2 linked regions of the Arabidopsis thaliana genome follow. The protein of the gene in region 1 interacts with the protein of each later gene in a biochemical or structural test. Each region holds a gene or a part of one and is shown in the gene's direction. Other genes may lie near its edges.

What was found.
Region 2: the proteins of ALY4 (region 1) and PARP1 form a complex in vitro, tested with the Arabidopsis thaliana proteins (one study listed by BioGRID).

What each region holds. Positions count from the first base shown.
Region 1 is NC_003076.8:14,977,321-14,988,220, reverse strand, and holds ALY4 (ALWAYS EARLY 4), read left to right. Parts: upstream 1-3,568; 5' UTR 3,569-3,745; intron 3,746-4,192; 5' UTR 4,193-4,242; coding exon 4,243-4,428; intron 4,429-5,238; coding exon 5,239-5,382; intron 5,383-5,463; coding exon 5,464-5,532; intron 5,533-5,641; coding exon 5,642-5,841; intron 5,842-5,942; coding exon 5,943-6,026; intron 6,027-6,232; coding exon 6,233-6,416; 3' UTR 6,417-6,602; downstream 6,603-10,900. Other genes in the region: AT5G37730 (uncharacterized protein), read left to right, coding at 1,337-1,571, 1,767-2,080; AT5G37710 (alpha/beta-Hydrolases superfamily protein), read right to left, coding at 6,821-7,114, 7,361-7,496, 7,570-7,698, 7,784-7,842, 8,361-9,062; AT5G37715 (uncharacterized protein), read left to right, coding at 8,776-8,799, 9,118-9,198. UniProt on the Arabidopsis thaliana protein: Export adapter involved in nuclear export of spliced and unspliced mRNA. Plays a role in disease resistance. Mediates multiple defense responses triggered by NEP1, including stomatal closure, hypersensitive cell death (HCD) and defense-related gene expression.
Region 2 is NC_003071.7:13,350,266-13,363,640, reverse strand, and holds PARP1 (poly(ADP-ribose) polymerase 2), read left to right. Parts: upstream 1-3,890; 5' UTR 3,891-4,062; coding exon 4,063-4,206; intron 4,207-4,955; coding exon 4,956-5,005; intron 5,006-5,085; coding exon 5,086-5,302; intron 5,303-5,399; coding exon 5,400-5,586; intron 5,587-5,697; coding exon 5,698-5,980; intron 5,981-6,129; coding exon 6,130-6,325; intron 6,326-6,424; coding exon 6,425-6,586; intron 6,587-6,658; coding exon 6,659-6,719; intron 6,720-6,801; coding exon 6,802-6,865; intron 6,866-6,957; coding exon 6,958-7,441; intron 7,442-7,525; coding exon 7,526-7,638; intron 7,639-7,721; coding exon 7,722-7,798; intron 7,799-7,901; coding exon 7,902-8,062; intron 8,063-8,155; coding exon 8,156-8,347; intron 8,348-8,430; coding exon 8,431-8,539; intron 8,540-8,675; coding exon 8,676-8,758; intron 8,759-8,868; coding exon 8,869-9,006; intron 9,007-9,135; coding exon 9,136-9,318; intron 9,319-9,547; coding exon 9,548-9,595; 3' UTR 9,596-9,893; and 1 more. Other genes in the region: emb1381 (embryo defective 1381), read right to left, coding at 6-91, 279-344, 538-598, 874-1,034, 1,170-1,798, 1,886-2,027; AT2G31335 (uncharacterized protein), read right to left, coding at 2,474-2,656; LBD14 (LOB domain-containing protein 14), read right to left, coding at 9,988-10,275, 10,378-10,656; INH3 (inhibitor-3), read right to left, coding at 12,409-12,732. UniProt on the Arabidopsis thaliana protein: Involved in the base excision repair (BER) pathway, by catalyzing the poly(ADP-ribosyl)ation of a limited number of acceptor proteins involved in chromatin architecture and in DNA metabolism.

The sequences.
Region 1 (10,900 bases):
TCTTGGAAGTGTTGGCCCTATAAGGTTTTTGGCCAATGAAGACGATGAAGTTTCAAGTGTTATTAACACAACCTTGAAAGCCTATGCTCGTCAAGGGAGGATCCCGGTTCTAGGGTTCGAAGTGGATAACCTCAATTTCTATTCCATTAACGCCGGATTCAGTAGTATTTTCCATCCACCACTATTTAGTTTGTTCTCTTAGAATCACCTAAATTCTAGATTAATCTTGACCCGCTTATAAAAAATCGCATTAGTTGTTTAACGTTGTGTGTACAAATTTTGGTATAAAATTCTAAATCGAAAGTAATTTGATATTTGTTTATCATTTTTTTGGTGTTAGAATTGAATACACACAAGAGAAGATAGGATCAATGGATGTAACGAATTCCTTGTTGTGCATGAAAGAGCCAAGACCATTGGAAAAAGTCCAAAGAAAAATAGAGAGTAAAGCATCAATCTTTTGGAGGGACCATGCATCACCACTGGATCAAACAACACTTGGTTACTATCCATGATCTTTGCATATAAATAAGGAAGCCTATCCTCAAAGGTAAGGAAATATACAATATAATATCCATCTTTTTCAAGTAGTTTGACCCTAAAAATGACATTACATCCTTTTTCACCACTCTTGTTCAAAATTTCAATGAGTACTGTATCCATAGTGATTTGCATTATTTCCACCCATAGTTTGGCTATATACTTTTAATTAATCCACGTTTATATATGTTAGTGAAACATAGCTTATATATGTTTTACTATTTTCTAAATTCTAGTTGCTATTATTGATCTTTTGCATGGGAGAATAAATATGTTGACCTATTCGTTCACTAAAGTCTCCATTATGATTTATGCACATTAGTTGTAAATAATATAAAAAGGTTTTAGTGGTGGAATAGTTTCAGAAGAGATTCCACACATCTCTCCACCATAGGTGATATGCTTAGCTTCTTCATTTGAGCCAACAAGCTCTAATAGCATTAGATCCTCCAAATTTTCTATCGTACACTAAACTTACTAGTGACCAATAACCATTAATTTATTAACAAATTTAGACCCGCTTTAGTGGTTCTTAACATATCTATGATTATCAATAACCCCACAAAACTAAAATTCGTAGCCTTGATAGAAAATCTCTCTAACCTATTGTGTCGAGACTTATATATGCATGTAAGCATATATATTATAGGGTTATTCTCATATAGTCTCAATGGATGGAACTCCTAACACTTACCTTTCATGTTGTCTTCTCTTCCTTTAATTTATGCATCTATAAAACGGAAGCAGTAAGCAAGTAAGTTTCATTCTTCTTTAATGGTCTATACAAAGAAAAAGGATGAATAGAAATGAGAATGTAAAAGGAGTGATGAAAAGGAAGAATAAAAAGTTATTGGTGAGTGTGAATGTTCTTGGAAGTGTTGGTCCTATAAGGTTTTTGGCCAACGAAGACGATGAAGTTTCAAGTGCTATTAACACAACTTTGAAAGCCTATGCTCGTCAAGGCAGGATCCCGGTTCTAGGGTTTGATGTCGACAACTTCATTTTCTACTCCATTAATGCCGGATTCAACAGTATTCTACTCCACTCTTGCTTGTTCTCTCGGAGTCCGTGAATTCTAGATTAGTCTTGAGATCGGTTCAAGATTTACATGGCTAAAACAGAAAATCACCAAAACAATTTGCATCCTTAACCTTGTGTGTACAAAATATTGTATAAAGTACTCATTGAGCGTAATTTGATTTGACTGTTTACATTTTTGGTGTTAGCTTTGCATCCACAAGAGAAGATAGGTTCAATGGATGTAACAAATTTCTTGATGTGCAAGAAAGAGCCACGGCCACTGGAGAAAGTCGAAGGTATAAGAGAGAGTAGAGCTCGGATAGGCCATGGATGGAAAACTACTCATCTTCTTCGGTTTTTATTAGGATATATTCCTTACAATCACAAACCTAACTCTACAAGTCAAATGGACTATAGATCATTCGGTGATGGGAACGCTTATTGTATAGAGGAGTACCAACAAGAGTTTCAAAGGATTACCAAAATAAAGGAATACCAACGAGAGTTTCAAAGGTTCTAGTCTTCTAGAATAAATTTGGGATGGAAGCAAAATGCATTGGTCGACAGCCTTTCGAGATATACTTTACAATTCAATTGTGGACAATGATGGGATTATACAAAATATTTGAAAAACTACATTCTAAAGATCTCTATACATTTTGGTTTATACTAGTTCTGAAATCTAAATCTAAATCTAAACAGAATTTGACCGCCAATTTACCATGTACTAGAGACATTTTGCAAGAAAACTTGATCCATGAACTTACTTGACTAAGATTAAGAACAACTAATGGACGGTATCTTCGAATATATGAATACTAGTAAAGTCGTTTGCAAAATATTCAATTCAAAACAAATGTCTCTAAGTTGTACATGGTAAAATGGCAATCAAATTCTATTTGAATTTCATAATTTTGAATGGGAAAAATCTTGAAAAAAACTCTAACTAATTTTTATTTGGACGTTTAATACTCAATTGTTTTTAGTTGGAAGAAAATTACACGAAGTTATAAAACTGTACAATTTAATACTCACGATCTCACCACAAAAATAAAATTCTAATTTTATCCTTACCATCTTAATTAACTATTAATTTTTTAGATTATATGATATTAATTTTATAATTTTGGATAAAATTTATTTTTTAAAATTTTTTATTTTATGGCGTCTAAAAATTTTAAATGTCATTTTTAACTAGAATTATTTTATTTTAAAATTTAACATAAAAATTAGGAGAAAATCACAAATATTTTTTAAAAAGATCTTTAGAATGTAGTTTTCATGATTATATTCTAAAGATCTCTATATATTTTCGTCTCTATACTAATTATGAAATTCAAATAGAATTTGACTGCCAATTTACCATGTACTAGAGACATTCTAAGTTTTTGCAAGAAAAGTTGATCTATGGACCATATCTTCGAATTTATCCCTACATTATTAAAAGGGAAGTACAAATTGAAATTTTGTCTAAATTTGGCTTCAATTTTGATTTCAATTTTGGATTTTGTTCTTTGCTATTCAAAATCATTAAGAGTAATTTGGTATTAACAATCTCCTAAACTTTATATGATCCGATTCAATCTAAACCGTTCAATAAAATTAATTCCCTTCAATCTAAACCGTTTAACAAAATAAAGAATTTATGTCGTTTTTGAAATCAAAATATGATCACATTCCATCCCTAAAACACTATACTCAATCACAAAATCAATAATCGATAATATCCAAATCATATATTACGATTCTTCACTAATCACTAGATATTTATATTTATAAATTTAAAATATCAAATTTATTCAAATATTTAGTATAAAAACCAAATCTACCGATTGCCCGCGATTGCCCGCGGGTTAAATTCTAGTGTATACTAGTAAAGTCGTTTGCAAAATATTCATTTCAAAACAATGGTCTCTAGTACATCGTAAATTGGCAATCAAATTCTATTTGAATTTCGAAATTTCGATAGAGACGAAAATAACCTTCTAAGTGTTCTATAATTACGAAATTGTCCTTACCCTAGACTTAAACCCCATATTTTCTTCCTCCATCCCTTCTCTGCTAAATTCTGTCTGATCTAAAAAATCAACGAACACAAAACTCATCAAAGCTCCTCAAAACCCTAAACACAGTCTCTCCATCTTCTTCAATCTCTCTCTCGTTCGGATTCTCATCTCTTCTTCTGGTAATTTCTTCTTCTTCTTCTTCTATCTTCTTGCGAACCATTCGTGCTCTTGAACCATCTTACTTGATTAATTTCGTTCTATTCTCATCTGCTTGCACGCAATTATTAGTTTTCGTTTCAATAACTATGACTAGGTTAATATAGGATATAGATCTAGGGTTTCAATCGATGTTATGTTTGATTTGAGAACTATAGATTTCCCTCGTAAGTGATCTAGGGTTTATCTGATTAGCTCTCAATCTGATTGGATTGATTTGTTTCTCATGAGCCTTTGTGTTTTTCTACACTGGGTAGCTCTAAAATTGCAATTTTGATTGAAATTTATTGTTTGGGTCATTAAGCTAGTGCTTGTTTGAGTTAGAAGATAAGCCAGTTTTATGATTATGATATGTTTTTCTTGTTCATGTTTTTGGTGGTAACTAAACACTCCTTCTCTAATTTATGCAGGTTTCAGATTGAGTCTTGTTACTGTGTTTCATAAGACTATTGAAGTTAAGATGTCTGGAGCATTGAATATGACTCTTGATGAGATTGTTAAGAGGGGTAAAACTGCAAGGTCTGGGGGAAGAGGGATTTCTCGTGGGCGTGGTCGTGGACGTGGTGGTGGTGGAAGAGGAGCTGGACCTGCTAGAAGAGGTCCTCTTGCTGTGAATGCTCGTCCATCATCTTTCACCATTAACAAGGCAAGCTCAAAATCTGGGATCTTCTATGTGTATGATTTGGAAATCTGAGTTTCTGTGAAGCATTTACTTCATCATACTATATCTAAACGATGGGAGAAGCAGGTTTTCCTGTCCATGCGGAAAGCCTTACTTCTGATGATAGTTTGACATTCTTTAGCATTGAGAACATCGCCTAGGAACATGCTTCTTTCTAGTTCATGGAGATGTTTTCATTTAGGAATGCCTCTTACCCCTGCAGTTTCAGTGTACTTTGTGGTTTATGTTGTTAATTGTGAGGACTTTGGCAGACAAGTTATTGGTTGCTTTTGCGACAGTACTTAGAACCTGAGGAGCTTCAGTAAGATGAAGATCAAAATTTGTTCTTCCAGTACAATTAGACATGTTGTGCATTTCCGTCACACAGTTTCAAATCCTCAAAAGATGTGTGGTGTTGTAGTAAATATAGTGACTTACCCTCCTAACCCCTACACAGTCTTAACTGTATCATGCATGAAGTTATTGATGAACGTCCTGCTGCATTTGGAATTTCTTCAGCATGCTATGAGCGTCGGTTTTTCTTTTATCATCATAGCCTTGGTACAAAGAATTTGTTTTGGAACCGGAGCATAGTCGGTCAAACTCATTGTTCCTCCATTTCATTTGGTTTTCTCATTGGGTGGTTCTTGACTACTCGGTGGAGCTCTTTGCTTTGACTGGGTTTCCCTCTTCCAGGCATATGGGTGGTCACTTCTTTGGAATTGTTTTTCATTGACGCTGTTTTTGAAGTTCGACAGACATCTTGTACTGAAATGATTCTGTTCTATTGAATAGCCTGTCCGTAGGGTCAGGAGCTTGCCATGGCAAAGCGGTTTGTTTGAAGATGGCCTAAGAGCTGCCGGGGCATCAGGAGTTGAAGTTGGAACCAGGCTCCATGTTACAAATCTGGACCAGGGTGTGACAAATGAAGATATAAGGGTATAATCAGACTTCTATAATTTGTGCATTTGGTTTCTTAGAGGGGAGCCAGACACTAAAATGTATCTTCATGGGATCTAGGAACTCTTCTCTGAGATTGGGGAGGTAGAGCGTTATGCGATTCATTATGACAAAAATGGGCGTCCAAGTGTAAGTCCTCACAAATCTTTATCAGTCCCATTCTCTTCATGATTTTGAAAAAGTTTTATCTTGTATGCTCTTTCTAACAGGGATTTTGTTTTGTGCCATGTAACTATAGGGCACAGCTGAAGTGGTGTATCCAAGAAGAAGTGATGCATTTCAAGCTCTGAAGAAATATAACAATGTGCTATTGGATGGAAGGCCAATGAGACTTGAGATTTTGGGTGGCAACAATTCTTCCGAGGCTCCTTTATCTGGTCGTGTGAATGTGAATGTCACTGGACTCAATGGAAGGCTGAAGAGGACGGTTGTTATCCAGTATGAATTTCTGTCTTTTCTTTTTGTTTTCTCAGTAATCGCATGAATAACTGTTGTGAGACTAAATCCAAGACTTACACAATCTTCTCTGATGCTTGTAGACAAGGAGGAGGAGGGAGAGGAAGAGTTAGAGGTGGGAGAGGAGGAAGAGGTCCAGCTCCTACTGTCAGTCGCCGCCTTCCAATGTAAGTATAAATCTGTTTCTCTTAATTCGTTTAGCGGAGAACCGAACTGAGATTTGTCAACTGCATTCCATATTAAACTGCATGGTCACAAAAGTTTTGTTCCTATTTTTGTGTAACCAAACCGAATAAATCAAAATTCGTAGTTAATTGATTTTCGTTTGTTTCGGTTAATGTTTTAATTTGCACTTGTTTTCTCTTGGTGGCAGTCATAACCAGCAGGGAGGAGGGATGAGAGGAGGAAGAGGCGGGTTTCGTGCTAGAGGGCGTGGTAATGGTGGCCGTGGTCGTGGTGGTGGAAGAGGAAATGGAAAGAAGCCAGTGGAGAAGTCAGCTGCTGATCTTGACAAAGATCTTGAGAGCTATCACGCTGATGCCATGAACACCTCTTAAATCGTGTTGTGTTGTTCTTACTAAACTAGTTTCAGATGAAATCATGCTTCTCTTTTTTTCATGCTCTTCGTTGGTTTTGTTGGATGTTGATTGTAAAGTAAATGGAAGCCTTTTAGAATCTAGCTGTCTTAAATTTTCTTTTATATAAAGAGTGATTTAAAGTTACCAAGTGAACTGTTTTAAGATCGGTTTTACTCATCAAATTCAGAAGTCTAGAGAGAATTAGGTTTTACATTGTAATGAAAAAAGTGAGTCTGATTGTGAACAAAAATTTCTCAGACCAATTTAACCGGATTATAGACATTCTCACACATCCATAAAGCCTAGAAAATTTACAAAACTGAGTTAAAGAAAAAAAAAACACACACCATTGAATCACAACCATCAACCTGACGCAAGCCTATCTACCTTTCAGGAACAACGTTATCGTTGAGAACGAATTCTCCTGAATTGCTTCGATGGAAAAGCTTGTCCACAACTTCATCCCAATTCTTCTTCTTTGTTTTCAACTCCGCGGATGCTTCTCCATTGTTGCATTCTTCTTCTTCTTCCGCGGTGGACACTGCGTGTGGGATATTAAGACTCACGGCTCTCTCCAACGCATCTTTGTGCTCTTTCTCTAAAGTACTTAACCTCTCCATTCTCTTCTCTTTTGGTGCCATTGTTACCACTGTCTCTGAACTCTTCTCTCTCAATATCTGTAACCACACACCACAAAACCCACCATTTATAAAAAGAAGCCTAACTAGTCCCTTACTATTTTGTGCAAAGATAGTAAAAAAATTTGTAGCAACAACACAATTAAAGATTTTATACTCTTAACAAAATCGTCGAAAATCTAAATCTTAAATCCTGTAACCTTACTTAAGCCTTATAAACTAAATCCTAAATCCTTAGCCCTAACCATTGATCTAAAACATAAAAATGCAGAAATTAAATGTCACCTGCAATGCCTTTTCTGCTTCTCTTTCTATCCATAGAATCGCATGATCCGATGTTGCATTCGATGATAATACTATATGCTCAAATCTACCATCAACGGGAATCGCGGTTCTCACTTCGGGAGGAAACCTTCCACATCTAAATACAAAAAATAATCAGAGGAAAAACAAACAAAAATTGCTAAGAAATGCCACACTAACTTCATTATTACCTGCAAAATTTCCGCTCAACGATATGATAAATTCGACCAGGAGCATAAAGCCTTCTAGGATCTCTTAGTTTCCGACCTTCCGGTATAAATGTATCCCTCAGACAAACTAGAAACAACAAGCACGGCAAGCTGTCCGAACAACGAATACAAAATGTTGAACTATACCTATAACAAATTCATTCCAACAAGAGCATTTTCGAAGTTCGACACTTACCAGAATACAGACTTGAATATATCCTCTAATGGTGTCGCTGTTCTCGGTAAAAAATCATCCTATTATTCCACAAACACTAAGTTTTGTTAAAATTCTTAGTAAAATACCTTACTCTATAAAAATTCTCTCTATAGACAGATACCTTTCTTAACAACTAAACAACCTCCAAAACTAGTACAAAATTTAGCAGAATATTCTGACCAAACTCAAGAAGCAAAATGAAAAATTCAATTCGTCGATTCATTGTATAAAGCAAAAGCATATTCTGAACTTACGAAACAGGATTATGACAATGCTTGGTCAACAATGAACCAACCACCACCATCCAACAAGACAGTTACAAATATAATCCAAATTTTATATCAAAACTATAAATATATTCAACTCTTTACATAACCAAAAAAATTAGTTGTCAGAAATCAATCTCTAACCCCAAAAACAACTAAACCATAACACCCTTAACTTAAATACAAGTGATTTAACATTTCTAATATATTATTCTTTGTTAAAAAATCAATTTTTGTAAAAATCTTTTAACTAACATTGAGATCATTAAAACATGGTTAAATTTTTTTACCTGCAAAATGACGGAGGAGATGACGTCAGCATACTTAACGGCGAGATTAAGCGACATACATCTCGCCGGAGCCAAAGCAAAACATCGAACCTTATTCCTCGGAATATCACCAATCATCGCCGGAGTATTAACAACCAAAACCGCCATCAACGCCGCAACACCAGAACCCAAAGAATGACCAGCAAAAACCAAATCATACTCTCTACCATTCTCTTCCCAAACTCTCCAAAGAGTCTCAGATTCTTGATTCAAAACCCAAGCCGCAGATTTCAACAACCCACGATGCACATAACCACCACCAAGCATTTTCTGACCTAATTTGTTATCTAACAGAATCTTGTAATCACTCTCTTTAGCTAAGTTCAAGCCACGAATCGCTAAAACAATCTCACGGTGGTCGTGATCTATGTAGATAATGTACGGTGGAGATCTTCCTTGGGTTTTTTCGTGTGTCACACGTTTGATGACCCATTCAGGGTTTAGATCGAAAGTTCCTAACGAAGGTGAGATTTTAGGGTTTCTGAGATCGGGTTCGTAGACGGCGAGGATTACTCGGCTGATTCTTGGGATTGGTTCGAATTCTTCCGGTGTTGCTGATGTCCACGTGGCGCTATCGTCTGAGCCTACGTGTGTGCATCGTTTCCATGCCCATCTACTGAATCCTACACAGAAGACACATTCTAGTCCACAAGCTACTGACATTTTTGACCCAAAGGTGAGATTTTTTTTTTTTGAAATTAGAGATTTTTGGTTTCAGAAATCAGAGGAAAGATTGAAACTTTTTGGCTCAAAGATGAGATTAGAGAATTTGGGTTTCAGAAATCAGATGAAAGATTAAAAATTTGAGATAAAGGTGAGATTTTTAGAACTATGAATTGGTTTGAGAGAAGACAAAATTTTGACTCAAAGTTGAGATTTTTAGGAGATGGGTACAGAGAGGAGATGGAATTAGAAGACTTGGTTTTTGATTTTTTTCAGAGGAAGAGAATCTGAAATTTGAGACAAGAGAAATTGGTCAAATTTCGAGGTCGAATGGGAAATTAGAGAACTTGAGATTTGATGAATATACAGTAAAGAAAAAATATTAAAATTTGAGGAAATACATGGAAAAAAAAAAGTTGTAATAAGAGCCAAAAGGGATAAAGAAGAAGAAGAAACCAGCTAAGTATAAAGACAGATAAGCGAGATTATCTCTCTTTCTGGGTGTTTCGAGACAGAGACAGGCAAGAAGCCCAAAAAGCAAGAATTGAAGAACTTGTCCATTTTCCCATGTTTTGTAATAAAAAAACGCCCAACTTTATTCCGTTTTATTTATTTACTCCTTTTGTTATTTTTAATTAATTTTCTAAAAAAAAAATATTTAAAATATATATTAAATCTGATCATAAAGAATATTCAATTATTTTTATTGAAGTTTAAAATACATCAATAATACTGCATATAAAACCTAAAAAATTAATGTTTAAAAAACATTTTTTTTCCTACAAAAATCAAATAAAAATGAAGAGTATTAGTTTACACAAATCTTGTAAATTGTGAAAATCTTTGATCCCCTCCCATTGATTTTTTAAAAAGTGAAAATATTTTTAACTATTTTTAAGGGTATTTTAATTAATTGTTTTTGTCTGAATGAGTTATAAAAACTCTTAAGGTGTGTAAATATGTTTTGTTGATTTGTCTATAATTATTACTATAAACTGATATTAGTAAAATTGACAAATTGATATGTGTAGACAAATTGCATTGTTGGTTATGAATAATGAAAATTCAGTTCTAGTAATGTAAAATTGGTAAACTAGGAACCGGTTAAAATGGATTCTTCTCGTTCCAAGAAATGTTTATACAAAGAAAGTTTCATATAGATATTAGTGATTAAGATATCAAAATATTTGGAAGGGATAAGAACTAGGCCTGGCCCAAATAGGGTGGAGAGAGGTGCAGTAGCCCATGGGTCCATACTACAGTTGTGACGACCAATGCATTTTGCTTCCATCCCCAAATTTATTCTAGAGGACTTGAAACTCTAGTTGGTATTTCCTTATTTTTGTACTCCCTTATTTGGTAATCCTTTGAAACTCTTGTTGGTACTACTCCTTTATACTTCAAGTTTGTATAATCTTCACAATTTGTGAGTCTGAAGCGAGCCCACATTTCATTCTCGAAAATCTCCCTTGTAATGAATGTTTTCCTCTTCGTTTACATTCTTAATGCATGCCACTCTTTATTGGATTCTTCTTTAATATGGTAAGAGGCATATTGTAATACTTAGTAGATACGTAAATGTCATGTCTTACCCAACCAGATAGTCGATCTCGCAATAAGAACCGTGAGAATAGTGCAATTTTGAAAATTTGGAATAAAAACAATGGTTGTGTATGGTCAGTTCGACTAGAGGCGTTGCCATGATTTCTCCCCTAACCCTATTTCCTCTTTGTGTTGTGTCACGTTTCTTTATTTGTTGCTGACCATTGAGTCGAGTAAGCCGTTTAGGAAAGATTCAATTTATGAAAATTTCTCGTTCACCCCCACTTGCATATTTT
Region 2 (13,375 bases), on another chromosome or scaffold:
ATTACCTCTGGTAATGATTACTTTGTTTAAGCGCATAAAGCTCAAATAGATGCCGAGAATTCGCACCAAGAACATCAGCAATGATAGTCCACTACAATTCCAACATATGTTAAACCTCTAGTAATATACAGCATCTCAATTAAAAAAAGAATGACCAGTAAAATTTTAGCATAAAAGATCATTCAACCTTTCTGGTTTGATATTATTAGGTTTTAGAGTTGTCACATATTTTGGTTTCATTAAACAAGCAGTGCCATTACCTACAGCATTTTTCTCACCTCCGAAGCACTGAAGTAATCAGGAACCATGTGTAATTTTGCTTCTTGAGGATTCCATCCAAATGTCTACAAATGAAACAAAGCCAAAGTGCAACGTAAGAAAGGTAGAATGAAGAAAAATAAAAAATGAACTTTCATGTTGATATAATGAAGGTGAGACGGGGAAACTCTACATAATATATCAAATTACCAATACATGCTCACACAAATACACACAGAATCAATAGTTTACTTAGATGTATACATGTAGCTTCTATACCTCACGAGAGATGAAAATGTCTGGAAACCCGTAGTCAACAAAGGCTTGATATGAATAGTAGCTGTCATAATTCAAATTATTAGACATCAGATAAAATGATAAAAAAGTTTCAAAAGACATTTCTGTAACTAAGAGCCAAGTTCAGAATGGAAAATGATTATTCAGACTTTCGGTAACTTAATGGCATACTACAAAGTGATACAAGTCAGAAACCAGTTTCCCCTCTAGTGTTGAGAAATTGAAACTTAAAGGCTAGATTAAGAGACCACGTAATCATCAGATAGTAACAGATTGTCCTTATTAAACCCAAAAATGCTAACAAAAAACAGGACAAACCTGTCCGAAGTCACGAATAGGACAGGTAGACAGCGCTCATTCGCACCTAACGCTATTATTCTCCAAATAAGATTGTCATGGTACATTGACGCTGAGACTGTTGAATCATCAGTCTGAATAGCCCTCTTCAAGATTTCAATGTTGTTCAAGACCAGCTTAGGCTGTCAAATGAAACAAGAAATAGAGACAAACAAAAATAACATCAATAGTTGGCAAACTGTTTCCAGATGAATACATTTACTGTTTACCACTCATAAGATCAAAGATTCCATTCCATTACTTATCTATTCCATTACCTGGAAGAAGCCAATCTCTGCAGCTTGTGATAACAACTCAAGCATTAGCAACGGCCAATCAGTACATGAATTCGCTAAAGTTCTCGAAAACCCATTAGTTCGATTAAGATGAGCAATGGCATTGGCTTTCCAACCCTGGTGCACCTTAATAACCTCTTTAGCCAATCTTAACGCAAAAGCAGTCTCTCTATAATACGAAGCCTCTTCAACGGACAAGCTATTACCTTTCTCTTCCAATTCAAGCAACCCATCAATCTCATCGGCATTTTGTCGAACAGATAGGGCATACACAGCCCGTTCCCAGAGAAATGAAACCGAGACTTTCTCTGGAACAGCAATGTTATAACCCTGAAGTATACGACGAAGTGCAGTATTAAGACCATACCATTTGTTCATAGTAGTGAAAATCTGCTGCGAGCTTATACTCCCAAGTTTGATAGCTTTGTGACTCATAGATTCAAGACAATTCTCGAGCTGGGTTTTGCAATTGGACAACAACGGTGGGTCAACACTGGTCCAAGACGTCCATGGATATGATTGGTGGTGATCTGGATGGTGTTCCGTTATCGATTGCGCAAAATCTACATAGCCAGCGAGATGTGGCCCTTTGTTCCAATCTCCGAGTAGACCTAATAAGAACGAGATCGGGAACGAATCAAAGGTACGATCATTTGAACAAAATTGGGGAAATTAGGGATTCAAAGAGAGGATTTTACGGTTGAGGATCAATGTGGTTTTGCCGACGCCACGAGGACCATGGAGGATGAGAGGCTGAGGAACACGGTGGCGTTGGACATGGTTGTTGAGAACTGTTTCTAGAAGCGGCTTTGGAATTATCTTCCAATGTTTATTCACCATTTCTCTGCTTCTCCTTCTTCTTGAGCTCGATCAGTGTATGGGGTTTAAGGACACTCCCAAATCTCAGGGGAAATGTTCAATCCAAAACCATGGAGGGTTTAAGCGTTCAAGGATCTCTCGCCAACGAAGAACAAATTTCAACTCGAACCAATCTCAACCGGTTTATACAATCGAACCAATATGAACCGGTTTATACAATCTGAATCATTTATCGTCTCTTAAACCAAATAAGAAGACTATTATTCCGGTTATCAAACATTTCCAGTACTATTACAAATTTGTTAAACAAACTTATACTTTCAAACAAATTTGCTCTCATAGCTTTGTTACAACTTACAAGAACATGTAAAGCATAGTTTCTCGTATACAACAAAAATGAATACAAAAAGTTCCACCCATAGTCCAAATTTTGGTATTGAGATCAAGCTTGAGATTCACAAGAGGGATCATCCGTGGCACGAACCCGAGCCTTTGGGGATGTGAGAGCAACGGTTAGGACCAGATCCAGGGACCGTACCCTTCTGCAAGGACTCGAACACGAACCGGATATCACTATCGAAGGTGATTCTTAACATCCTCGTGGCTTCTACTTTTGTGGAGTCCAAGAAAACCACAAAAATGGCAAGCATAATCACTCCAAAGATTACTTAATTCTTCATAATCATCACTTTAACTTTGTTTCTTTGTACTAAAAAGTATTTGTAGTAAGTTCGTTTACTCTTTTGTGTCGCATTGAAAGATATGAATATGAGTTAAATATATAGAGAGGGAGGGTTTACTTTTTTTTTGTCGTCAGGGAGGGTTTACTTGGATTCTTATGGATTGACTTTTTAGTTGGAAAAAATTGGTTCTCGACATTTGAACTAGAAAATAAAGATTGAGACTGATTAAACAAGTTAACACGTAAACCGGTTTTGTCTTGGACCGCAAGATTTCTTGCTCATACGGAAGGGCGAAGAAGATCACGCGTCTCACGAATTTTTAAGCAAATAGGAGGAAAATGCACCCGGGATGTTATTACGGTCCAACTTGATTAGTGTATTCCCGGTTTGATTTTCTGACAAATTATGGTGATCAATTTCATATTTTTTTGCTTCTTGTAGTACATGTTGGATTTTTTTTGTTAGTACAATATTCTGAAAATTTTGATGGAAAATGCAATCATATAATTATAGCGAAAAAAGGCTGCAAAGCTAAAAAAAAAAAAAATCGAAACAAAAACACAACAAATAAACTAAATGAGAAATTCAACTAGCAGTTTTTCAAGAAGAAACACTGATTCTGAACGCCGAATTAAAGATGGACATTCGCGTAATTGTCACAGTTCCAAAAATCTCGAGACCTTATCGTCGTTATTACGAACAATCTCTACCCTATACCAAGCTTCTAACCTCAAAGAGACGCTAACTGCTGTTTCGAAAACTAACACAAAACATGTCGGATTTAATTTAGCAATGTAGCTCTTACGTGGTCAAAATTCTCATTTTTGTTCCAATGTAAACTAGAAATGTACAGATGTTTTCCGAAATATACAACCACCATGATTCAATCGTTCGACGGATTCTGCGAATTCGTCCATGATTTGTTGATTTTTTTTGTTAATATATTTTTCACCAATGCTATTTTCTTTTTTCTTTTTTCAATTCCCTATTGTCATTTTATAGCCATAATTTTATGTTCACATAATCTTTTCTTCCTGTCTCAAAAATATAAAACAACAAGTGATAGTAATCATCGTCTATTGCATAACGGAGGGTGCAAATTATTGATTTACTAATCTGATATCAAATTAAATCATTGAATAAATCTGATTATCAAAATAATAATTGAAAGCAATAATCTTAAAACAGACTTTTTAGGGTAAAAAAGGGAAAAAGGGTTAAACGGTAGAAACACAATCTGGAAAAGCGTCGCCGAGAAGCTTTACTCTCACCTGAAACATTCCTCAATCCGTCGTCATCATAATCATCTTCGATAGAGAAGCCATACGTATAAATAGTACTCTCGCATTGTGTAATTGTCTCTTACCGGAGAAATGGCAAGCCCACATAAGCCGTGGAGGGCGGAGTATGCAAAGTCGTCGAGGTCTTCATGTAAAACTTGCAAGTCCGTCATTAACAAGGAGAACTTTCGTCTTGGAAAGTTGGTTCAATCTACTCACTTCGATGGCATCATGCCCGTATGACTCTCTTTTCTCTCCCAGAATTTGGAACTGTCTCTGTACTATACTCTCGTGCTTGTTAGTGTGCGTTCTAATGTTTCTTTCTGATTTTGAGGACAAAATTGATTCTTTTAGAATTATTGTCAGACAAATTGGGTTTATTTGGTTGAAATTGGTTATTTTTGAGGGTTCAATCCTGTTCTCTCTGCTTCCACTGTTCTACATTCCTTGCAAATTTGTGTGTGTGTGTGTGTCAAGCTTGTTTTCTATCTCAAAATTGGAACTTTTTTAACTTCTTAAATAGATGTTAACCTTCCTCACATTATGTTCTTTCCTCCTTTTGTGCCTAATCGAATGTGATAAAAGAGCATTTGAAGCTTAAATTTGAGTCACTTGTGTGTTTATTTAGTACTTGATGATTGCCAAAAGGTTCGTGCTTTTCTGCAATGACGTATGTGAACTCCTATTATTCCCTTTGGAACTCTGACGTTATTCTGTTTGGATGATCATAATCGTTTGTTTAGCTGTGTTTTGATATCTTTATGCCGCCAATGCTATGATTGCAATCAGCTGTGTTTTTCATGAGCTTTTATGCTTGTTGTTTAATGGAATGGCAGTGGTCATTCTTCTCTTCTTCTTTTCACTATGTAGTTCCTTCTTCATGCTGCTTCACTTCACCATGTTAATTATATGTTGCTTTTAGCTCCAGTTGACATGAAGTTTTCCTAGCTGACTATCCTCTTTGTACTTTTATTTTTCTCACACAGATGTGGAACCATGCTTCTTGTATACTAAAGAAGACGAAGCAGATAAAATCGTATGTAAAACCAATGTCACTTTGAACAAATATTTAAAGTGTTTGGCTATTAACTCGTTTTTGTCTCTTGATTTTGCTAGAGTTGATGATGTTGAAGGCATAGAATCACTTCGTTGGGAAGATCAGCAAAAGATTAGAAAATATGTCGAATCTGGAGCAGGGAGTAACACAAGCACAAGCACAGGCACAAGCACGAGCAGTACCGCTAATAATGCCAAACTAGAATATGGGATTGAAGTGTCACAAACTTCTCGTGCCGGTTGCAGAAAGTGTAGCGAAAAGATCTTGAAAGGAGAGGTAAATTGTTGTTCTACTTCATCTGTCATGGTTGTAGCGTTTTATATGAACTGGTTCGATATGCATTAGGGTTTTGTTTTGCATTTTTGTTTTCCAGGTACGTATATTCTCCAAGCCTGAAGGCCCGGGTAACAAAGGTTTGATGTGGCATCACGCTAAATGTTTCCTTGAAATGTCTTCCTCTACTGAACTGGAAAGTTTGTCTGGATGGAGAAGTATACCAGACTCAGACCAAGAAGCTCTTCTTCCCTTAGTGAAGAAAGCTCTGCCGGCAGCCAAAACTGGTAAGAGTCTTAAGGTGTACGGTAATATATTGATTTCCTTGTTACAGGATCCTGATTTGCAGTACTTTAGTCTGATCTTTCCGTTAATTTATTTTGGCCCAACTGGGACAGAGACAGCAGAAGCACGTCAAACAAATTCAAGAGCAGGCACAAAACGAAAAAATGATTCTGTTGATAACGAGAAGTCGAAACTAGCAAAAAGTAGTTTTGACATGTCTACAAGTGGTGCTTTACAACCTTGTAGCAAAGAAAAGGAAATGGAGGCCCAAACTAAGGAATTGTGGGACCTGAAGGATGATCTGAAAAAATATGTAACATCAGCTGAGTTGCGGGAAATGCTTGAAGTAAATGAACAAAGTACAAGAGGATCTGAACTTGATCTGCGTGATAAATGGTAAATTACTTTGCGAATCTGTCTGGAAGTTAATTGCTTGTCTTTTGTTCTATTTCTGTTACTGTTGTGTGGATCTTCTTAAAGGTAATTTGGATTAGAGAAACCGATGCATAATCATATGCCTAACCTCTCTATTTGTTTCTATTTAGTGCTGATGGCATGATGTTTGGCCCACTCGCTCTCTGCCCAATGTGCTCTGGGCATCTTTCTTTCTCCGGAGGACTTTACCGATGCCATGGATACATCTCAGAATGGAGCAAATGTTCTCATTCCACTTTGGATCCAGACCGCATCAAAGGGAAGTGGAAAATCCCTGACGAAACAGAAAATCAATTCCTTCTGAAGGTAAACCAGTCTTTTTGTAGAGTTGATATTGGTATGGGTTAGGTTAGATGTGGTATATATTACTCATGAAGTTAATATTTATATTTTGATTACTTGCAGTGGAATAAGTCTCAAAAGAGTGTGAAGCCAAAACGTATTCTGCGTCCTGTATTGTCTGGCGAGACATCTCAGGGTCAAGGTTCTAAAGATGCAACTGACTCCTCAAGGAGTGAAAGGCTAGCAGATCTTAAAGTTTCAATTGCTGGAAATACTAAGGAAAGGGTATGTTCTTCTGTCAAAAATTATATTGTAGACTATCTTTGCACTTCATTGCTTGATGGGATCATTTTGCAGCAACCATGGAAGAAGAGAATTGAGGAAGCTGGTGCAGAGTTTCATGCTAATGTTAAAAAAGGTATGGATAACTCGAGTGTCTATTTTTGATTATTGTGACACTAGTTTTAGCTTTTGAATATCTCTGTTTCACAAATTTGTAGGTACAAGCTGTTTGGTTGTTTGTGGACTGACAGATATCAGAGACGCTGAAATGAGAAAGGCAAGGTAGAATATTGCCTTCATTGTGCTGATACTCTTTAACTTTGTCACACTATTTTTTCTCACTTTGAACGCTGGAGTTGATAAATGTGTGGCAGGAGGATGAAAGTGGCAATCGTGAGAGAGGATTATTTGGTTGATTGTTTTAAAAAACAGAGGAAACTTCCATTTGACAAGTACAAAATTGAAGACACTAGTGAGAGCCTTGTCACTGTTAAAGTAAAAGGACGAAGCGCTGTGCATGAAGCGTCTGGCCTCCAAGAGCACTGTCACATTCTTGAAGATGGGAACAGTATCTATAACACAACTCTGAGCATGTCTGATCTCTCTACCGGTATCAATAGTTATTACATACTCCAGATAATCCAAGAAGATAAAGGTTCAGATTGTTACGTATTTCGTAAATGGGGCCGAGTTGGAAATGAAAAGATTGGTGGTAACAAAGTGGAGGAAATGTCAAAGTCTGATGCGGTTCACGAATTCAAACGTCTATTTCTTGAAAAAACCGGAAACACATGGGAATCTTGGGAACAAAAAACGAATTTCCAGAAACAACCTGGAAAATTTCTCCCGTTGGACATTGTAAGCATCCATATGACTATATCTTTGTCTCTTAAGATTCTCTTATGTATCGTTCAATAAACTCTTTTGTATCGTTTGTTTTAGGATTATGGAGTTAATAAGCAAGTAGCCAAAAAAGAGCCATTTCAGACCAGTAGCAACCTTGCTCCATCATTAATAGAATTGATGAAGATGCTTTTTGATGTGGAAACTTACAGGTTAGAAACTTATTTGCCATTGTCTTCTTCTCCTCTTCTCTCCCTAGAAACTGTATGAAGTAACCTAATAATTACTTCCGCAGATCTGCAATGATGGAGTTCGAGATAAATATGTCAGAGATGCCACTTGGGAAGCTCAGCAAACATAATATACAGAAGGGTAACTCCTACTTCTCTAGTTTACTTTTTTATATGATAAAAATAATAAAATGTTAATTCTACATTACATTCTATTATGTTTTTTCTTGTTTGTTCTTCTAAAGGTTTTGAGGCATTGACGGAGATACAGAGGCTATTGACTGAAAGCGACCCCCAGCCTACTATGAAAGAAAGCTTGCTTGTTGATGCTAGTAACAGATTTTTTACCATGATCCCTTCTATTCATCCTCATATTATCCGAGATGAAGATGACTTTAAGTCAAAGGTACTTGCCATAGAACATGAACCATGGTGTTGTTTTTTAATTCCTAGCCTCTTTTTCTGTGTTACAAAGAGGTATTGTATCTGTGTGTCACAGGTGAAAATGCTCGAGGCTCTGCAGGATATCGAAATAGCTTCAAGAATAGTTGGCTTTGATGTTGATAGCACCGAATCTCTTGATGATAAGTATAAGAAGCTGCATTGCGATATCTCACCACTTCCTCATGATAGCGAAGATTATCGATTAATCGAGAAGTATCTTAACACAACTCATGCCCCAACGCATACAGTGAGTTCAAGCTCTGTTTATCCCTTTTCATGTTTTGTTTATCATAATTTTCTAATTCAATTTCTGGTCACTGGATTTGTCAGGAGTGGAGTCTTGAGCTAGAGGAAGTTTTTGCTCTTGAAAGAGAAGGAGAGTTTGATAAATATGCTCCCCACAGAGAAAAACTTGGCAATAAGATGCTCCTATGGCATGGTAAGCCAACTGCAACCAGCCACATTTACATGCTTTGGGAAACAGATACAAGAAATTTCATTGTTTGGTTGATTCTATATATTTGGCTGGTTGATCATCAAAACCCTTGGTTTAACCAAAATAAATCTGCTTTCAGGTTCTCGATTAACGAATTTTGTTGGAATATTGAACCAAGGACTGAGAATTGCACCTCCAGAAGCTCCTGCTACTGGTTACATGGTCAGTACTCTATCTGTGTCTTATTTGTGGGGATCTTATCAATTGAGAGTTCTTCACTATCTAGTTAACTTGTTAGAGAATCTGAACTTTTTTTAAACCCCATGTTTCAGTTTGGAAAAGGGATATACTTTGCTGACCTTGTCAGTAAAAGTGCTCAGTACTGCTACACTTGTAAGAAAAATCCGGTGGGTCTAATGCTTCTGAGTGAAGTTGCATTGGGAGAAATACATGAGCTAACAAAAGCTAAGGTGAGCCCATATTACAGTTTTTCAGGTTATGCTACTAACCATTTGGTTCTTATCTTGAAAACTATATGAACAACTTAAGATATTACTTACCTTCATATATGACTTTCTCTTATGTCCTCAATTCTTTAGTATATGGATAAACCTCCGAGAGGGAAACACTCGACCAAAGGGCTCGGCAAGAAAGTGCCTCAAGATTCCGAGTTTGCCAAGTGGAGAGGTGATGTGACTGTTCCCTGTGGAAAACCTGTTTCATCAAAGGTCAAGGCTTCTGAGCTTATGTACAATGAGTATATCGTCTACGATACAGCCCAGGTAACTTGTGTTTCCAAAATAATCTTCCTTGTTCCTTACAACAATGGGATATTGCGCACACACTAAAGTCCTCTTTTGTTCTTATCGGGTACTTGGGAATGAGAACTGAATTCCCTAGAAAGCTCATGCTTTAGAATACGGCTTTAGCTATTAGTTTTGCAACATATTCTGTGTTTGATTCTTTTATGGTGTGTACATGTCTGACAAAGATTGCTTTGTCTCTGAACAGGTGAAGTTGCAGTTCTTGTTGAAAGTAAGGTTTAAGCACAAGAGATGAGCCTGAACCAAACAAGAAGACGTCACTTCTGTTAACTAAATGTTTTTTTGGGAAATCGAATCCAACACGAAGACTTAACTTTTGTAACTAAATGTCTTTTGATAAATCGAATCCAACATGTAGTCACAGATTTAACTCTCTGGCGTTGTAGATGTTTCTGGTTTTAAAACAGCGTACACTACATTTTGTTATGCTTTTTCTCAGTAATGACACTTCTTAAGACTTGACACTTGTTCAGATCTGATGTTGTACCTATGAAAGATCATCGAAGAAGTGGTTATTCTCAAAGAGAAAATGGTTGCATGATTCGATCTCTACTATGAAAAATGTCGAAAAGTCGATACAATAGAAAGATTGTAAGGTTCCATCTCTGACAAAGTAGTCACTTGTACTCAAACAGACCAAGGAAAATTGACCTCCTGGTAGTAATTAAGTGATTCATTTGAGCTACAAGGAGACTCATTATGATCCATGGACCGCTCATTGTCGCGTGTAGTACCACTCATTGGGTCGAAGTCTGAGTCCAAGATTCCTTGGTGAAACCAATTGTGAAGATCTTGTGGCATTTGTTGAGCAAGAACCTTTTCTTGTTGCTTCATATTACAACCAGGATCATCTTGAGGGAACCTTCTCGAAGCTTCTTCTCTAAGTAGAACCACTTGTGCTTGTAAACTAACAACCTTAAGAACAAAGTCAGTGAAGTTACTTGTAAGTACACTAGAGATGATGAAGCAAAAGCAAAAAAAAATTATGTATACATTTCCGAAGAAAAAGTATAATACCTGTTGTTGGAGGGAGAAGATTTGGGAGACGCAGCCGTAAATAGGATCATGGAGACGAGAGTGAGCCTCGTAAGAGATGGTTCGTACGGCGTCACATCGGTCATGATCAGGGAGATGAGAAATGAGCTTAGAGAAGTTGCTAGCTCCAAACACTTTGTGAATGGCTGCAAAATTAGAAGATCCTTCTTCGTAGCAAAAGTATGGTGCAAATACACAACCCTCTACACATTTCCTACGCAAGAACTTGCATCCTCCACATGGTGAGCCTAAACCTCCCATTCTCAAAACGTAATTATAATCTATTGATATTAACCAACTATTACTATCTTGTAGGAATATTAATACTTCATTACTTATACTCTTCTAGTGACGATTATATAGTGCACGAGTGTTTATGGTAAAGGACTAAGGTGGGATTTATGATAACTCAACTTGTTATTTTACATATTTGTCTCTCTAATGGCTTACAATTACAAGATTGCAGCTTTTATATTTTCCCTCAAGTTTATATTGTAAAACATCTCTCTAATATTCAATAACTCGTTGTAATATATTATTGAGATTAAACTCTTAAGGTGGAGAATATTCTTAAGAAAATATTGAGAGAACCATATTAATATTAAGATCCGATCAAATGAGAGATTTGGTTGACGTATAGGACAAAACAATGAGTAAACATGAACCAAACCCAAGTTGCTTTTTGTTGTGGTTTTAGCTTTTTTTTAATTCATAACTAATTTACTCTCTTATTTTATTTAGAAAAATAAATTAGAGTTTACTTTTAGTGTTTGTTTAGTTGAAAATTTACATGTACTTGTGAAATTATGTTAAGATTGTTGTCATTATTGCTTAATTTGGAAAACAATAGTTTAAGATTTAACAATGCTCAACATATACACCACATAAGTGATTGAGATGTGTGTAGAATAAGAACAAAGGCATTTGATATTAGTAGTATATGAGACAAGTTATTTCTATATCTCGATTTAAATATTTTAAAATGCTCTCAGTTTCGATCAAACTTTACAGACTAGAAAAATAGAGAGACCCATGATTATCCAGCCCACATATTAATCATGAATCATGATTAACATCAAAAATATTCCAAAATAATTGATCAAGTACAAAAGTTAAATTATTCGATAATAATGAACAACTGATAGTGGATTTATGACTTAATGTTGGTTTAGTGGAGATTAAAAATAGTAAGAAAAATTTGAGTTTGAAGCTTTATTTTTGTTTTCTTATCTATGTTAAGGATTTCGGGTGTCTTTAGATATCCTAACTTGTGCCTAGAGTTTGCGGAAAAGACGGAGTTTTGGTCAAAGAAGGACCGGGGAACAAAGAAATAACAGAACCAGTACGGCCATGGGATCGGTCTCACCAATGACTGATCTAGGACTCCTCAAACAACCCTCATAAGCCACATTGGCCGTGCCCATCAGTCAAATGCAGATCCAATATCCCTGGAGCCAACTAAATAACCCGCATCGATCAACCATCATGGTCATAGAGCCACCGATCTAGCCAACCAAACCATCCGACCAGTAGCTACATCGTTCTGCCATATCGGTCATATTTTTTTATCGATCCTAATCACAACCCATCTGATCCAGAAGCTGCATTGATCCCAACATCGGCCAATGAAACCCAAACATTATACTTACCCTTTGCAAATCCTATTCTACTGGGAAAATAATATAGTGCTCATCTTTTAATTGATGAAACCCGAACATTGCATTTTGAGAAATAGTATGCAGTCGCAAAAGCAAAAGCAAAAGCATATTCAAATGTAGAAAGAAAATATAACATCCTTGTAATTCTTTAACTAATTAGCAATCTTCAATGATTCACATCATTTTCAACAGAGTATGAAGGAGTTAACATTGCAATGAATCTGCAAATTACTTGTACATATACATAACGCCCAACCAGGGTTAGATAGGAGAAGAGACCAAAACAACAAATGTGTGTTCTTCCATGATCTATTAAAAAGCTTCAATATATAGTAACGTGAAAAAACCTGATTGATTAGTCAACGGCTTTAGAATCATTAGAAGAAGATGCCTCACCAGATTCGGAGTGTTCATGGTTATGATCACAGTGATGGTTGTTATCATCTTCTTCTTCACTGTCATCCTCATCAAAAGGCTTCTGTTTATGAAAGATGCAACACTTCTTCGAACTCTTCTTCTGCATAAACTCATTGTCTACAGTCCCATCTTTCCATGAAACTTTCTTCTTCTTCCGGTTCAACCGAAGCACTAATCTTTCAGTAGGTTGTGATTGAGAAACAGGGTTTTCTAATATGACAGAAGTTGTTGCTGAAGAGGAAGGCCTTGTTGCTGTGCTCATAGCTGAAGATTAGCTTTCAAAATCTGCATAAAAGACTAATTTCATAAGGTACCAAAATACAAGAACAGAGAATAAAAGTTCTTAATAGTAACAACTAACAACATGCTTAAGAATGACAAGAGCTAAAGATAAAAACTAAGACCTTAAACAAAATCGTAAAACAGAACAAAGCCTTTAGGGTTCATTCTTTAGGTAAACAAACCAAACAGATGCTATTTCTCTAACCCTAAATTCATTGCCTACGAGATCTGAACCCTAATCATTCCTAATTCCAGGGGATAAACACAAATCGGTGATATGAAATTGAGAATCAAATGTTGCAGTAAACAATAGAGAGACCTAGTTTCGATCGTAGAAACAATAGCGAAACCTAAACCTAGGGGAAAAAAAGATTCAAAGAATCAAATCGACGAAGAAGCAAACCTGTGAATCCCCAAGGAGGAAGGGACGCTTGTTGAATCGAGAAACTTTTTTTTTTTTTCGTTTTGTTTTTTTTTTCTTTCGCCGATGGAGAAATTTAGTCGCTCCAACCAAAAAAAAAAAAAAAAAAAAAATTCGGTCTAATTTTATATTTATTTTCTAAGAAATGTTAATATATATATTAGAAAAAAGACTAATACAGTGTAATTAATTTTGAGAAAAC